Linked DNA regions of Macaca mulatta. The protein of the gene in region 2 purifies or fractionates together with the protein of the main gene of each other region. This does not show direct contact. Links are inferred from orthologs where the notes say so. Each region holds a gene or a part of one and is shown on either strand. Other genes may lie near its edges.

Evidence for each region.
Region 1: the proteins of PTPN5 (region 2) and MAPK14 purify together in Homo sapiens (affinity purification with mass spectrometry; 3 studies listed by BioGRID and IntAct, with this or other methods). This does not show direct contact. The link is inferred for Macaca mulatta from reciprocal best matches to the Homo sapiens genes PTPN5 and MAPK14.
Region 3: the proteins of PTPN5 (region 2) and MAPK3 purify together in Homo sapiens (affinity purification with mass spectrometry; 4 studies listed by BioGRID and IntAct, with this or other methods). This does not show direct contact. The link is inferred for Macaca mulatta from reciprocal best matches to the Homo sapiens genes PTPN5 and MAPK3.

The regions. Positions count from the first base shown.
Region 1 is NC_133409.1:146,147,197-146,149,550, reverse strand, and holds part of MAPK14 (mitogen-activated protein kinase 14), read left to right. Parts: intron 1-203; exon of another isoform or gene 204-673; coding exon 674-847; exon of another isoform or gene 848-1,612; coding exon 1,613-1,680; 3' UTR 1,681-2,354. UniProt on the Homo sapiens protein: Serine/threonine kinase which acts as an essential component of the MAP kinase signal transduction pathway.
Region 2 is NC_133419.1:46,658,333-46,662,462, forward strand, and holds the end of PTPN5 (tyrosine-protein phosphatase non-receptor type 5), read left to right. Parts: intron 1-1,596; coding exon 1,597-1,757; intron 1,758-1,848; coding exon 1,849-1,962; intron 1,963-2,392; coding exon 2,393-2,486; 3' UTR 2,487-3,493; downstream 3,494-4,130. UniProt on the Homo sapiens protein: May regulate the activity of several effector molecules involved in synaptic plasticity and neuronal cell survival, including MAPKs, Src family kinases and NMDA receptors.
Region 3 is NC_133425.1:28,441,231-28,444,861, reverse strand, and holds part of MAPK3 (mitogen-activated protein kinase 3), read right to left. Parts: intron 1,520-3,631; coding exon 1,330-1,519; intron 1,147-1,329; coding exon 1,030-1,146; intron 769-1,029; coding exon 654-768; intron 271-653; coding exon 139-270; intron 1-138.

The DNA.
Region 1 (2,354 bases), on a different chromosome or scaffold from region 2:
AAAATTCCCTTTGATTTTAATACCATGTCTCACCCCCATCACCATGTAAAACCCCCAGTTTATTCACTGTTTGAAGATCTGTTTGATGAATATTTATTTGTCTTATGTTAGTAAATAAACAGCGAAGGGGGACAAAAAACAACAACAACAAACACACAAAAAACAGTCCTGCCTACCTATTCTAGATTACTGTAGCTGTAGGCTTTTGTTTTTATACAGTTTGACTACACTGGTAGCAGTTTGACATTGACGTTCCACAAAAGCCTGTTCAAACACAATCCTAGTCATTTAAAAAAATTCTTCTTTAGTAACATGTTCTTTAAAAATACAAAATACAGGAGGAGGGTGAGGGTTGAGAAATAACCTGTTGGGCACAATGTTCACTATTTGGTTATTGGGCACACTGGAAGCCCAGTCCCCATCCGTGAGACCCATGTGACAAATGTGCACGCGTACCCCCGAATCAAAAATAAAATAAAACATTTTAAACATACAAAATACAGATACACACACACACGTAAAGGAGAAAAGGGCCAGTATATCCTAGAGTAGGTATTTTTGGAGGAGAATTCCTTGTTTGGATATGAAGGGTCAAAACTATGTTTGCTTAATAAGGCATACTTTTTTGTAACATATTAAAAACTATTTTCCTTCCTGTCTATGGTACTGATAGCTGTCGACTTGCTGGAGAAGATGCTTGTATTGGACTCAGATAAGAGAATTACAGCAGCCCAAGCCCTTGCACATGCCTACTTTGCTCAGTACCACGATCCTGATGATGAACCAGTGGCCGATCCTTATGATCAGTCCTTTGAAAGCAGGGACCTCCTTATAGATGAGTGGAAAAGTAAGTCCTAAGGGTAGGATTAACATCTTGTACCACTAACCGAAAGCGGTGGGAAAATAAAAACTGAATGGTCATAACCAACTTGCTAAAGCTTGTAGTTGAGGTCTGTAATGCAGAATGAATATGTTCTCTGGTGGAAAGTGTTGTAGACAGTGATACTCTCTGGACCTTTGAGATACTTAACATCTGGTCTGATTTTATGCACAGCCCCTCACATATAGGAGCTTTGCATGGAGATTTGAGGTTTTCAGAGTTATTGCATTTACAACATCTCTCTGAGCTAAGTAAAGAATAGGATATTTTTACAGTTTTACAGTTAGTAGAACTGGGGCAAAGAGAATTTATGTCTTACCAGTTAACTTAGAACTAGTTAGGGACATAGCCAGGAATGGAACCCGTGTATCCTGTGTCCAGTCCCATATTCTTTCCATAAAACACAAGTTCAGAACTCCAGTTAAATCCAAAGAGCCAAGACCATCTGTTGCCGTAGCTTGTGAGAGTGCTCTTTCATTCTTGAGCACCTCCGTAGAGAACTTAAGAGGCATTCAGCAATGAAAAACATGAGGAAAAAAAAAGGTTCTTTTCTATGTCCCTCGAACTTCTGTGTGATAACGTGCTCCATTAGAATATTACATACCAGCTGTGAGGTAGCCCATCATACCACTACCTGGACAGGGAGGAAGGATCTTGAGTGAAGTCAGAGTGCTCGCCAGCAAAGAGAACAGCCTAAACTCTCACGTCTTACTTTTCCTTCCCGATGTCTAGGCCTGACCTATGATGAAGTCGTCAGCTTTGTGCCACCGCCCCTCGACCAAGAAGAGATGGAGTCCTGAGCACCTGGTTTCTGTTCTGTCGATCCCACTTCACTGTGAGGGGAAGGCCTTTTCACGGGAACTCTCCAAATATCATTCAAGTGCCTCTTGTTGCAGAGATTTCCTCCATGGTGGAAGGGGGTGTGTGTGCGCGTGTTAGTGTGTGTGCATGTGTGTGTCTGTCTTTGTGGGAAGGTAAGACAATATGAACAAACTATGATCACAGTGACTTTACATGAGGTTGTGGTGACTTTACATGAGGTTGTGGATGCTTCAGGGCAGCCTCCACCTTGCTCTTCTTTCTGAGAGTTGGCTCAGGCAGGCAAGCTGCTGTCTTTTTAGGAATATGTTCAATGCAAAGTAAAAAAATATGAATTGTCCCCAATCCTGGTCATGCTTTTGCCACTTTGGCTTCTCCTGTGACCCCCACCTTGACGGTGGGGCATAGACTTGACAACATCCCACAGTGGCACAAGAGAAGGCCCACACCTTCTGGTTGCTTCAGACCCAACGCTGTCCCTCAGTGATGCGTACAGCCAAAAAGGACCAACCGGCTTCTGTGCACTAGCCTGTGATTAACTTGCTTCGTATGGTTCTCAGATCTTGACAGGTGTATTTGAAACTGTAAATATGTTTGTGCCTTAAAAGGAGAGAAGAAAGTGTAGATAGTTAAAAGACTGCAGCTGCTGAAGTTC
Region 2 (4,130 bases):
ACTTTTGTCCATAAGACATTACAAATACCTGGCCTGAGCTTGGTTCTGGGTTGGGTACTGTGAACACAGAGCTTCTCAAAGCTTGGACTCTTTCCTCGAGAAGCATGTATAAGATGGTCAGTACTGAGCTAGAGATAGGTATATAGAATATAGGATATGTATATCATATGTTAAATTGGATGAATATAGGATCTATATCATATGTGTATATATAAAATATAATATAAATATATGAAATACATAATATATATAAAATATAAATATATATATATATATAGGGGTGTGTGTGTGTGTATATATGTATAAAAGAAGGACACTCTGTCAGCTAATGTGCTCAGGGAGGGCCTCCTGTAAGTGGTGGTGCCGAATGGGGTCTTGAAGGATAAGTAAGAGTTGACCGGGGCAAACAAGTCAGGAGAGCATTCCCAGTGAGAAAAAAATAAAACAAAGGACATGGAAGATGGAACACTTGTGTGCACATGTGTTTGCATGTGCTGCTGAGATTTTACCTACAAACCTTTCGGAGTGTGGGAGCATTGAGTACAAGTACACAGGAGCAGGAGGTGTGTCTGGAAGGGCAGGCCCTGTAGCAGTTGTCTTCCTAGCCAGGCGAAGGACTGAGAAGAGTAGGTCTTATTCTGAGAGCAGTGAGAGACATTGAAGGATGTTGTGGTCTGCTCAGGCTGCTATAACAAAATACCATAGACCAGGGAGCTTGTAAGCAACAGGTTTATTTTTCACAGTTCTGGAGGCTGGGAAGTCCAAGATCAAGGCACCATGACCCTGGTGAGGACCCACTTCCAGGGTCATGTCCTCACATGGCAGAAGGAGTGCAAGATCATTGAGGCCCCTTTTGTAAGAGCACTGATCCCATTTGTGAGGGCTCCGTTCTCATGACTTAATCACCTCAGAGGCCTTCCCTTCAAATACCACCATATTGGGGTTTGGTTACAACATGTGAACTTAGGGGGACACACACATTCAGTCCAAAGCCATGCGTTTGCAGCAGGAGAGCAGCATGTCCAGAAGTGTGTTGTACACAGACTATTTTGACTCTGTGGATCTGAGACAGTTGGGAATGAGGCAGAAATCTCCCACACTCAAGCAATGATAAAGGTCAAGGTGGCAGTGAAGCGGGGAGTGTGAAGAGGTGGTAAAACTTACAGCACCAATTGCAGCACTAAGATAGAGGTGAGTCACGCAGGCGAGGCAAAGCAAGAGGAGGAGAAGAGTCCTGGGGCTGGGTTATGTGACAAAGGGATGACTGGGGGACCATTTGTTAAGATAAGGAGCCCCGGAGACAGTAATAAATTGGAGAAGGGGCTCTTGGCCCCTCTTGGACGATCCTGAAGTCGTTGGGGCAGGACCAAAGACAAGATCCACGCCAACACCACTGACCAACCCCCAAAACTGAGCTGGCTTTGGGTCTCTGTCTGGTGCCACTGGGCAATATGGCCTAGATGGAAGGGTTAAGGGGTTCCACTCTCTGTGTGCTTCCTGTGTTCTTCTTCCTCCCATCCCATCTCTATCTCTGGGCTGGTTTGTGAGCTGAAGGAGTTCACACATACCCGGGGTGGGCCTCTGTCTCCTCGACAGAGTGGGACTGAGGAGCGAGGCCTGAAGCATTACTGGTTCACATCCTGGCCCGACCAGAAGACCCCAGACCGGGCCCCCCCACTCCTGCACCTGGTGCGGGAGGTGGAGGAGGCAACCCAGCAGGAGGGGCCCCACTGTGCCCCCATCATCGTCCACTGCAGGTGGGTCCTCCCAGCCAGCCACTGGAGCGGGGCAGCCCCCCACCTGCTGGGCTGCCCTGCCCCTCACCCCACCGGTCCCCTCGGCCCTCAGTGCAGGGATTGGGAGGACCGGCTGCTTCATTGCCACCAGCATCTGCTGCCAGCAGCTGCGGCAGGAGGGTGTGGTGGACATCCTGAAGACCACGTGCCAGCTCCGTCAGGACAGGTCAGCCCATGGGTGGGGGCTGGGCACACAGGGGAGCTAGAGCCTCGAGGGGGTAGAGGGAGAGACCCACATGTGCATTGGGGGGCGAGGGGCAGATGGAAAACACTGGCATGGACTGATGGGCAAACAAGGAGTAGCGAGAACAGCTGGGTAGAGAGGCAGGATCCAGACGGTGGGGGGCCGGATGAAGAGGGAAGAAAAGCAGAGCTGCTGGACAAAAGGACAGAGGCTGAGAGGCTGAAAGCGGTAGGACATGTCATCTGTGTCCCTGATAGGAAGGGGCAGAGGGTAATGGTTGGCAAGGGTTGGTCTCTCCGAGATGCACAAGGACAAGGCCTGGCAAGTGATGGCTACTCCGTGGCTTTTGAGGCACCCTCCCACAGCCCATCCTTCCATGACCCTGCCCCCACTGTGCATCTCTGCCGGGCAGGGGCGGCATGATCCAGACATGCGAGCAGTACCAGTTTGTGCACCACGTCATGAGCCTCTACGAAAAGCAGCTGTCCCACCAGTCCCCAGAATGACTGCGCTTCTCCTGCAAGGTTCTCTGGGCACTGCCCAGCCTGAGTCTCGGCCCTCACCCAGGGCCCCGCCTTGGGTCCTGGGCCTGCTCCCCGCTTCCTCCCCTTCAGTCAGCTCCCTCTGTCCTCTCTGTCAGCCTGGCCTGGCCCCTACCCTCCAGCATTGCTCTTCCTACTGTACATATTGAGGAGTGGGGGCAGGGTCGGGGAGGGACATGCCAGGTCGGGCCTGGGGCCCCAGGGCCTGATCCACACCACACAGACCCCGGGCCCCAGTTTTTAACGATGGTCCCATCAGTACCTGATCCAGAACGTTTCCGTGCCACACTCTGTGTCCTGCTGCGGTGTGTTCTGTCTGTCCGTCCATCTCTGCTGTCTGTACCGGACACTGTGTCTCCTCGGCCAGGAAGGGGTGATGAGCTCCAGCCCCTAAGCAACCTGGGCGGACTTGCCTGCCTTGGCCTCACCCGCACTTCTCCCAAAAGGCAGATGACTGGGAGTTAGGCATGGGGAGCTCCGGAGGGCTACCAGAGTTCCAGCTGAGGGAGAGGTCTCTAGGTTGGAGTGGGCATCACAGCCAGGGTGGCCTCTGGGTGTCAGATGCCCTCAGGAGGGTGCCCAGCCTGTGAGGCACTGGCGAGGAAGGGGGCAGATGGGGCGTGGAGAACCCAGAGGATCTGGGCCCTGTTGGGGAGGGGAGGGGAGCTCAAGGTTTGGGTGGGGACTCAGCCCCAGATCTATGTGAGACATTTTTCGTGTCACTGTGGGAAAGCCTTCCCAGAAGTCTCACTGCGTGTCGCTCTGCGTGTGTTCCCATGTCCATGCGTGTGTTGAGAGCCCACCAGGAGGGCATGCATGACTCTGGCAACGTGTGTTATCTTGGAGCCACGTGTTTTTATTGCTGACTTTAAATATTTATCCCACGGCAGACAGAGACATTTGGTGTCTTTTTATAATTCGCTCGTGGTCATTGAATAGAGCAATAAACGGAGCATTTTGAGCAAAACTAACCACCTGGGTCTGTGTGATTTGCCACTCCCCTCTACTGCCTGCCTTCATGTACCTGGGTCTTTGTGCCCCTCCCCAGCATGAGCACACAGAGAGCTTGGCCTTTCTGCTCACTGGAGCCCCTTGTGGAGACTGGGAGTTTGGAACGAGTCCAAATTTGTAAAGCCAAACTGGGAACATTCTGCAGGATTCTCACACAGCCTCAGCCCTGGCCCTGACAGATGCTCTGGGCCAGGTGTGGAGCCTCAAGGACAGGTGTGGAAGGCTTCCAAGGAAGGCACAGTGGCTGGCAGGTCACCAATTCCAACAGACGTGCCAGAGAAGCCAAGGCTAGAGCAAGTAGACATTCAGGTCGCACCCAGGCCCCTTCCTGTTGGCCAAACACTTATCCCTTGTGGGCTCCACAGGTCCCAACAGCAGCTGCAGCCCAGTAATTTCCCTTGTAAGGCCTGGGCTCAGAGTAGCTTCTCCCAAGGGGCCCAGGGAATCTGCATGTGGACTGAGATCCTGAGCCATCCTGGACACTCCTGCTCTATTCTTGTCCCCTGCCCCCCTGGGATGGAGCAAAAGTAGCCATGATGCCACTGCTGGCAGGTGGGGGTCACCCCAGGGCAGAAGGAGGGGTCCAGAGCAAGGGTG
Region 3 (3,631 bases), on a different chromosome or scaffold from region 2:
AGGAGTCAGGGGTCACAGGGAAGACTGGAGAAGCTCCCAGAAGCATCACTTTGCCTGTCTCCTCCAGCTGCTGCTGGGCTCCCGTACCCTCCATGGCACCCAGGGTTTATCCCACACCCGTCCTCATGTCTCTCAAACCTTTGGAGTCTGACTTGGGGAAAAGCTTGGCCCAAGCCACCTTGGTCTTGGAGGGCAGAGACTGTAGGTAGTTTCGGGCCTTCATGTTGATGATACAATTCAGGTCCTCCTGGGATGGGGAGCCCAGGATGCCTGTGGATAAGGAGGTGACTTGGTAAATGATCACCTCCTTCTTTCTGGGAACAGAACAGGCAACAAGGCAAGAACAAGACCCCCAGCCCAGCAACCCATGCCAATCCCTCAGTTACCTCCTAGTCATTAGCAAGGTGGTGCAGAGCAAGGGGGCTGGATTCAGGCAGACCGAGGCTCAAATCCTAGGTCTGGTGCCTCCTTAGGTGTGGGACTTAGACTTGCTTTTCCCATCTATCCAATGGGGATAATATCTATACCTCATTGAGATACCATGAGATGCTGGAGGCGCCCCACACGTGGTGGTATCCCTGACTTGGACTCTTGAGAAATCTCACCTTGGAGAAGGTAATCATCCCCCACTCAGCCAGCCGGGCCTCCCTCACCCAGAATGTGGTTGAGCTGATCCAGGTAGTGCTTGCCAGGGAAGATGGGCCGGTTAGAGAGCATCTCAGCCAGAATGCAGCCCACAGACCAGATGTCGATGGACTTGGTATAGCCCTGGGAGAGAGGAGGAAGTGGTGGGCTCCTGGGCCAGCCTCAACAGGGTCCTGTTTCTACACCAAGCCACCATCTCCAAGTTAGATCCAACACCAGGCAGAAGGCAGAGGCCTGGAGGGCTCAATGCTCAGCTTCCTTGCAGAGCCCAAGGCCCAGAGGGTGGAATTCCTGTGTCATGGGGGTCGGTGTCTGGCTCGGAGGTAGCTCCAGGGCTTCCTGGGACCTGGTCCCTTCCCTTCAGGAGTGGGCAGCCCCTCCTACCTTGGAGTTCAGCATGATCTCTGGGGCCCGGTACCAGCGTGTAGCCACATACTCCGTCAGGAAGCCGGTGTGGTCATGCTCAGGATCGGCAATCCGGGCCAGGCCGAAATCGCAAATCTGGAATCAGACCAAGCTGCTAAGCTCAGTGCTCAAGGCCTCTGCAGCTTAAGCAGTCACGCCCCCTTGTCTTTGCCTCCACTGTTCCCCTTGCTTGCAATGTTCTCCTGCCCAAGGCTTCTACTGGTCACCTGGAAGCCCCAGACCCTGGGGGAAGAGGGGACAGGTGCCCAACCCTCTGACCTTAAGGTCGCAGGTGGTGTTGATGAGCAGGTTGGAGGGCTTTAGATCCCGGTGGAGCACATTAGCGGAGTGGATGTACTTGAGGCCCCGCAGGATCTGGTAGAGGAAGTAGCAGATGTGGTCATTGCTCAGTTGCTGGCTTTTCAGCAACTTGTACAGGTCAGTCTCCATCAGGTCCTGCACAATGTAGCTGAGGATGGTTCCGGAGACCCCCGGGGAGGGGGCAGCGGGAGGCACTTGGTTAAGGAAAACAGGCTCTGAAGGCGAGGCTGCACATCTCCTCCAGCCAGGGCCCCTGGGACTCAATAGATCTGCCAACCTGCACCACCAGCTGGGCAAGCTGCTGCCGTTACCCAGCGGCAGGGCTCTGAGCCTCTGTCGCGTCACAGTTGCTGATCCTGAGCAAGGGGCTTCACTTCTGTGGCCTCAGTTTCCCTACCGGGGAAACAGGGATAATAATAAACTGTGGGAGGCCGGAGAACTTCACAGTTAAGAGCAGCAACTTGGGCCAGGAGTGGTGGGTCATGCCTGTAATCCCAGCACTTTGGGAGGCTGAGGCGGGAGGATCGCTTGAGGCCAGGAGTTTGAGACCACCAGCCTGGGCAACATGGCAAAACTCTGTCTCTACTGGTAATACCAAAATTAACTGGGGACAGTGGCATGTGCCTGTAATCCCAGCTACTCGGGAGGCTGCAACACGAGAATCACTTGAACCCGGGAGACAGATGTAGTGAGCCGAGATCATGTCACTGTACTCCAGCCTGGATGATAGAGTGAGACTCTGTTTCAAAAATAAATAAATAAATTAATTAAAAAAAGAAAACTACAAAAAGAGCAGCAACTCTGGACTTAACCCATGGAAGTCTGAAATCTCCTCTCTACTACTTACTGGCTTTAGGAGCTCAACCTGTCTGTGCCTCAACTTTCTCATCTGGTATGTAGGGGAAATAATGTGTTTTTTGTTTGTTTGTTTTCTTTTTATTTTATTTATTTATTTTTTTGAGACGGAGTCTCGCTCTGTCACCCAGGCTGGAGTGCAGTGGCCGGATCTCAGATCACTGCAAGCTCCGCCTCCCGGGTTCACGCCATTCCCCTGCCTCAGCCTCCCGAGTAGCTGGGACTACAGGCGCCCGCCACCTTGCCCGGCTAAGTTTTTTGTATTTTTAGTAGAGACGGGGTTTCACCGTGTTAGCCAGGATGGTCTCGATCTCCTGACCTTGTGATCCGCCCGTCTCGGCCTCCCAAAGTGCTGGGATTACAGGCTTGAGCCACCGCGCCCGGCCTGTTTGTTTTCTTTTTGTGGAGACGGGCTATTGCTATGTTGCCCAGGCAGGTCTTGAACTCATGGGTTCAAGTGTTCCTTCCACCTCGGCCTCCCAAAGTGCTGGAAATTACAGGTGCGAGCCATGAAATAATGGTTCTTTTGAGGGTGGTTGTGAAGACTAGATGAGATGGCGCATGTAAAACTGTCAGCCCAGTGCTAGGCAAGTTGTGAGTGCTAGGCAAACATGAACTATTATTACTAATATCAATGCCTGAGTCACATGGCTGTTGAGGGAGTTAAATGAGATAATGTATGAACACCATCTGGCATGCAATAAATGTTTGCTTAAAAATAAATGCCTGCCTTATGGGAATGGTTTGCGCAAGAAAAATGAGGAGACACTCCCAATAGCACACTCCCACTCAAAGAAGAGTGCTTGGCCATACCTCAGAAGATGGAGGAGTAAAATGTCTTTTTCTATTTGAAGATAAAACAAAGCTTATGCGTAAATAAATAAATAAATCCACAAATGCCGTTTGGCTTGTCTCTGGAAAAATAAGTCAGGGCTGTCTTTTAGAATCTGCCTTGAGGCCAGGTGCAGTGGCTCACACCTGTAATCCCAGCACTTCAGGAGGCCAAGATGGGTTGAAGACCTGAGGTCAGGGGTTCGAGGCCAGCCTGGCCAACAGGGCAAAACCCTGTCTCTACTGAAAATACAAAAATTATCTGGGCGTGGTGGCGGGCGCCTGTAGTCCCAGCTACTTGGAAGGCTGAGGCAGGAGAATAGCTTGAACCTGGGAGGTGGAGGTTGCCGTGAGCTGAGATCCAGCCACTGCACTCCAGCCTGGGTGACAGAGGGAGACTCCATCTCAAAAAGGAAAAAAAAGAAAATAAGAATCTGCCTTGAAAGGGTCTTCAGAGGATATGTGGACCAGCCCTGCTGTTTTAGAGCTGGGGAGGCCCAGTGAGACGCAGTGACTTGCTTCAGACCACACAGCGAGATGGGGGTGAGCACAGAGATTTCCTGTCCACAGTTTG